2 linked regions of the Oryzias latipes genome follow. The protein of the gene in region 2 purifies or fractionates together with the protein of the main gene of each other region. This does not show direct contact. Links are inferred from orthologs where the notes say so. Each region holds a gene or a part of one and is shown on either strand. Other genes may lie near its edges.

What was found. The genes of interacting proteins can lie anywhere in the genome.
Region 1: the proteins of atm (region 2) and histone H2AX purify together in Homo sapiens (affinity purification with western blotting; 11 studies listed by BioGRID and IntAct, with this or other methods). This does not show direct contact. The link is inferred for Oryzias latipes from reciprocal best matches to the Homo sapiens genes ATM and H2AX.

What each region holds. Positions count from the first base shown.
Region 1 is NC_019872.2:15,234,268-15,236,649, forward strand, and holds histone H2AX, read left to right. Parts: upstream 1-1,171; 5' UTR 1,172-1,270; coding exon 1,271-1,696; 3' UTR 1,697-1,882; downstream 1,883-2,382. UniProt on the Homo sapiens protein: Variant histone H2A which replaces conventional H2A in a subset of nucleosomes. Nucleosomes wrap and compact DNA into chromatin, limiting DNA accessibility to the cellular machineries which require DNA as a template.
Region 2 is NC_019871.2:24,872,565-24,876,661, reverse strand, and holds the start of atm (serine-protein kinase ATM), read right to left. Parts: upstream 2,801-4,097; 5' UTR 2,484-2,800; intron 2,104-2,483; 5' UTR 2,075-2,103; coding exon 2,003-2,074; intron 1-2,002. Other genes in the region: protein NPAT, read left to right, coding at 3,231-3,267, 3,457-3,575.

The DNA.
Region 1 (2,382 bases), on a different chromosome or scaffold from region 2:
TTTTTTCTTCTCTTTTGACAGATATATATTCAAAGGTGGAGCTAAGCATCCACAAAACAAATTTACAAGAATGAAACTGCAATATTGAAAGTTTGTGTGACCTATTACTTGTTCAAAAATTGTATTTATTGCAAATAAATTATTTTCTAAACTATTACTTAATATTAGCATCTGTATTCTCTTTTTTGTGCATTATTCAAAGAAGATTCTTACAGCAAAGATACAAAATACATCAGTATACAAACCTCTTTCCTTACACAAAGGTTTCTTGCAGATCCGTATGGTTTCCCTCTCAAACCACTATTTATCCAGGTATACTGGATGGAGAAGATGTCTTTAAAAAGTAAATAGGTATCCCTTGAAAAGGAGATTTGGTCTCAATGGGAATTTTTAATCAACAAAACTCGATCATATAACTCGAACACAGCTTGGTAAATCTAAGCTGGAGTTCCTGAAAAAAATAAGAGGTAAGCGGTTTGTTTAACACAACTGTTTGTAACAGTATGCTAAATACTAAAGTCTTTAATTTAAAGTAACTTTTTAAGTAAATAGTATCCAGTTGTTCCTACATTCTCAAAATGAGTTATTGGAAAAAACACAAACTGCTTAGATAGCTTTTTGCCAAGATATGCAGCTAAAATACAGCGCAACAAACACGTCCCTTTGCTTATTTATTTATGTAAACATCAATAAAGTTCTTAGATTCCATAACACTCACAATCTTTCAAAATTCACACACATATACTGTACATATCAAGGTTATTTCAGTTTATGCCACAAAGTGTATAATCTGGCATGTAGTTGAACACTTAAAAGAAATGATCTTAGGTTTTGGAATTTTCTAGATACCATCAACTCTGCTGCTCAGCTTCAATTATTCACGTGACTTTGGTCAGCGGCTGTGTTAAAACCGCCAAAGGTTTAAACCTGGAGGGAACATTTCCGATTGGTCTGATGTGTCTGCCACATAGCCACTCATAACATGGAGACCAAAGTACTAACCAATCGTTTCCCTTTATCCCACAACCCTTTACGTGATTGGTTCATAGCCTAAACGCTGTAAATCGAAGACGTTGACCAACGTTTCCGGTTTCGTCTCGCTAAACCAATGAAATCGCAGTACTTCCTCTTTGAAAGCCAATCGATGCTTAGGGCGGGACCAAAACGGGGTTTATATCCAGGTCAACGTGGTGCTATTTGGATATCTGTATTGCAGCACTGAAAGACAACGTTTGTGTTTACAAACCGGAGGGAACTTTCTACATCGAATATGTCCGGAAGAGGAAAAACTGGAGCAAAGGCCCGCGCTAAGGCAAAGACCCGCAGCTCACGTGCTGGTCTGCAATTCCCCGTGGGCCGTGTTCACCGTCTACTCCGTAAGGGAAACTACGCCGAGAGAGTAGGTGCCGGAGCCCCGGTTTACCTGGCCGCCGTGCTCGAGTACCTTACCGCTGAGATCCTGGAGTTGGCCGGGAACGCCGCCAGGGACAACAAGAAGACCCGCATCATCCCACGCCATCTTCAGCTGGCCGTTCGCAACGACGAGGAGCTGAACAAGCTGCTTGGCGGCGTGACCATCGCCCAGGGCGGCGTCCTGCCAAACATCCAGGCCGTCCTGCTGCCGAAGAAGACCGGCCAGGCTACACCAAGTTCCGGAAAGGCGGGAAAGAAGTCTTCGCAGTCTCAAGAATATTAGCTTCTAAGCTATCGCCGCTAAAAACCAAAGGCCCTTTTAAGGGCCACTCACTCACTGAAAGAGCACCTTTCCCCTCATGATGTACATATGACCGATGACTGACTTTACTGTATAAACTACCGTAACATGTACTTAGTAAAACGTTACATTCAGGGCTTTTCATTAAACTGAAAATTTGATTGTTCACTCTTGTTTCTTTGTGTTCTTTCCCTACTCAGCAGAAAATTAAACTATATTAAAGGACTTCATAACATTTACATTGCATAAGGTAGTAAACAAACTAAGATGTCGGAACCGGGATAAATTGTGTCCTAAGGTCTGACAAATTCAAATTAACTAAGTTATACTGCAAAATGTAGTTTTGATCTTACAAAACCAGGAGATTTGTCAAAATTGTGATCATAGCATGTCGTAATTAGTAAAACTAAACGAAATGTTCTTCAAAGTCAGGAGGAAACTAATAGATCTGAATCATGATCGACAATTTGTTCCAAACCGGTTTAGTGTTAAAAGTCCAGCAGGAAACTAAACCCTGACTTAGCTTTGGTTGAATTTTAAACTGTTTAAAACCTTATTGAAGATTTCCAATATAGATTTCCATTTAGTTGCATAACAATTGCCAATATCCAGAGTCAGGTATGAAATAATGCATGTAAAAATAACCAAACCATAATGATAAACCAGAA
Region 2 (4,097 bases):
GACATCCAGTACAGCCAATCAGAGTAGAGTATTCACCCAAACAAGGGGTCTGCAACCTTTAACGCTAAAAGAGTCATTTGGGTTAGTTTCTAAATGAACAAAACCTAGTGAAAGCCACAAATTCCCACTTCCCTGTTCGAAAAACAAATTTTATTTATGTTTCTCAGGCCATTTAGCTATTCATTTATAAAATCACTTCAAAATATTTACAATAATTTAAGTATAAAGTGAATGTTTTTTTCTGTGTACTGTATAACGATTTGACTGTCTTTTATTATTACAGCAGCACACACAAATTCTTTTCAAAAATAAATTAGACCAAAATGATTGTTTCAAATAAGATCCTCCAGCTGAAGCACATTTAACTGCAAGAAAGCTACGTAAAGCTTGACATTTTCTATCATGACGTCACCCCCTTCTGATGAGTTAAAAATCCAAACAAAACCTTATTAACTGAAATAAATGAACAAAAAACACAAATCCATTATTTAACCAGTGGTTAGCGCTCTTGCCTCACAGCAAGAAGGCCCCTGGTTCAAGTCCCCGGCTGGGGGACCTGAAGCAGAACATCGATGGGGGACCTTTCTGTGTGGAGTTGGCATGTTCTCCCCGTGTATGCGTGGGTTTTCTTTGGGGACCCCGGCTTCCTCCCACAGTCCAAAGACATGCTTCATCATAGGTTATTGGATCCTCTAAATCAGGGGTCGGGAACCTTTTTGGCCAAGAGAGCCATAAACGCCACATATTTTTAAATGTAATTTCGAAAGAGCCATACAATAATGTAGTGTCCTTTTCCCACACGGAGACTTAACCTCTTTTAAGGTTCTTTATTCTGGTTAATGCAGGCTGTAACAAATGCCGTAAATTAATTCAGCAGCTCCTGAATCTCTCCCGCCGAGACGAGAGCGCTTCTCCCAACTTTATATTCCCCCCTCCCGCTCCAGCCCTCCCATTTCCCTTATTCGGCCCATAGCTGAACCCCATTGGTCCAAATTAACTAACAACAAGCTGAGCGACAGAACTAAGAGCCAATCAGATCTCTGCTTGATGCGTTCAAGGAACTCCAGAACTTTTAACGCGGCCCAACAGCCAAGTTAAACTCAGTCCGCTACAATATGTTTAAAACTAAATATTCAAGTGAATGTGTGCATTTGATATAATTTCAACACTTTTAAAGTACAATAAGTCTGTGGATTATTTTTAATAACATTGTTATGCTGTTGCTAATAAATGATGAGTATTTCTCGTGGTAGTTTTGTTGATGGTCTAGTCTGGTTGATACGTGGTGAGTTTCTGCTTCGTTCAGGCGTTGAGACTTTAAACGTGATCATAGGTCTGAATGTTCTGTAAATGTGAGACAGACTGATCACATGCAGACGCGGAGCCAAACACACACACTCACACGCTGCAGTGAGTGACGGGCAGCAGGTTTTATGTTTTTACAATCCCTGCGCGGTTCACCTTACTGACCGAGCCCACAACTCCACCCTCACCCTCTGCTTTCTCCCTCTCAGTCACATCCTGTCCCCGCTACTGCGCGCTCTTTCTCAGAGACGGGGGCGCGCAGTTTTAGGCACGGCAATTCACAGGTTTCCGGCTGGTACAAACTCTGTGAAATAATAGATAATTGTAAACTGATAATGCTGGCGCAGATCCTTCTCTCCAAGCACCGCTACTACTGTGCGCCTCTGCCATCCCATCGCGCCCGAGAAGGACTGGTCTAATGAAAAAGAAAAAATTAAAAATGTGTCTGCGAGCCACATGTGACCATCAAAAGAGCCATATATGGCTCGCGAGCCATAGGTTCCCGACCCCTGCTCTAAATTGTCCCTAGGTGTGAATGTGAGAGTGCATGGATGGGTGATTGTGACCCTGCAACAGACTGGCCCCTGTCCAGGATGTCCCCTGCGTTCGGGATAGGCTCCAGGGATTCAAAGATGAATGAATGAAAGATATAATTTTTCTACTAAGTCCCCAAATGTTAGGATGTTTGCGTTTTTACCTTTCTCTCAGTAGCTTTATCATGTTCCAGCCCTCTGCAGCAGAGCAGTAAATCATGTAGAGCCAGACTCATCCTGCTTCACAGCTGATTGTTGTACCTGTCTGGACAACATCAAAGCATCATCACATCTGTTCCAAATATCAACATACACAAAGGCTCTGTAAGGTCTCTGACTGCTTCCATTCAAGGCAAAATGCAGAATGGTTTATGCTCTGCAAACATGAGGATTGTCAGCATAGTGTGGGTGTGTACAGACAGCTGTCACGTGGTGGATGGATGTCTTTTTAAAGCACCTTAATGCCTTCAAAGTACCACAGAAGGTCGCCCAGGCAAAGGCTCGTTCAAATTCTGTGCCAAATGCAAAAAAATGAAGCCAGACGTGCAATAATAAACGAGAATTGTTAGGAGTTGTAGACTTGTCATTGTGTTGTTAGAAATCGCTTTAAATTTGTGCAAATTTCGGGGTTTTGTCTTTTGTTACCTGAGTAAACTTTGCTGGCAGAGGGGGAGAAAAGCTCATATAATTATCTTGCAGGGCGGATGAGAAAGCGAAAGTTTCTGTCCTCTTCCTTTCAAAAAAAAAAAGGTAAAAAAGGTTGGAGGGAAATGGACTGACACACATATGGGACCGGTTGCTCTCGGCTTCTTTACGGACCTCAGGTGACTGTTATTTCCAAGCTGCCCAGCGCTCGTGCACAGACAGGTGTTAGCCAAGGTGCTACTGTCCCTACAGCAACTTTTCCATTCCCCTCGACGTGCGTTAGCAGCTACACGCACACGCAGATTCCCGCCCCAGTACCAGTGACGTCTACTTCCTGGTCGTATACGTCTTGAACGACTTTATTTATTTATTTATTATTTAAGAAACGCATGATTTCGTTGCACTTTTACATAATATTTAATGTAATTAGAAGTTGAGACTGTCTAAAATTTTAAAATTAGAAAATGTGCCGTTATTTGTGGCGTTTTAAAACACCTAGCTAAGATTTTCTGTGTTGTTAACTACAATTACCAGAGATCTAATCGGTGTGTCACTTTAAGTCTTCCGGGTTATACATGATTGAGTTCCCCGCCTTTTGAAATAGCTGGAGTACACTCAGCCTCAGGACAACAACATCACCGAAATCGACTAGTTTTATGTTGTCTATTTATAGTCGCTAATTCTTTTACTTGACGTTTTTGTGTATCTTTTAAACCCCGAATATATCGTATTAGCTGTTAGGCTGCCATGTTGCTCCCTTCTGATGTGGCCCGGCTTGTTTTGGGTAAGTCAAAGCCAGAGGAAGGAAGAGGGGATTGTAGCTGTAGCTTTTAGCCTGTCTCGAAAACGAAGGGTAAGATGGGCGGATTAAAGCTGACAGGGCTCACCGGCTTGGGATAGCAGTTGGGTTTTCCGTTTGTGTTCGTGCAGTTTCTTTTTGGGGGTGAGCAGTTTGATTTCCATCTTTCTTCAGGATACCTGCAGGAAGAGGGACTGCCAGCCACCAGCAGAGCTTTTATTCACGAGAGCCCAAACCTGAAGGAGTATGCCGAGCACACTATTGGAGATGGGACCATTCCTGCATGCGTTTTTGTGAGTCTTTCTTCCCCTTTTTTTTTTTTTTTTTTTTTTTTATAGAACAATACAAAACAATACCAGAACATTTACATAAAAATTACAAAATATGGCGAATACAAAAGAGAATACTATAATTGGAAAGGAAGCAAAAAGAAGAAAAATTCTTATCAGTATGCAAACATAAACCTATGTATATTCATAATCATAGAGAAATCAGGGAAAAGTATAACATAAGAGAACAACAATTTCAGAGTTGGATAGTGTTGCAAAAAGCAGGGGGATACAAAATATAAATAAACTGTCTTAGACATCAGGAATATCACTCAGGGTGTCATAAATTGTTATGGCTTTAGGTGAGTCGATTAACTTTATGGATTTTAAGTATAAATTGACCTCATTATTAAAGAAGCTAAAGCTGGGGTGGCATTTCTGTAACCTATTTTTGTGTATAAAAAACTTGTCTAAACATAACACAGTATTGATACATACATTATTTACATTGTTGTGTATTGACAGGCCAAAGATTATGACTTCTTT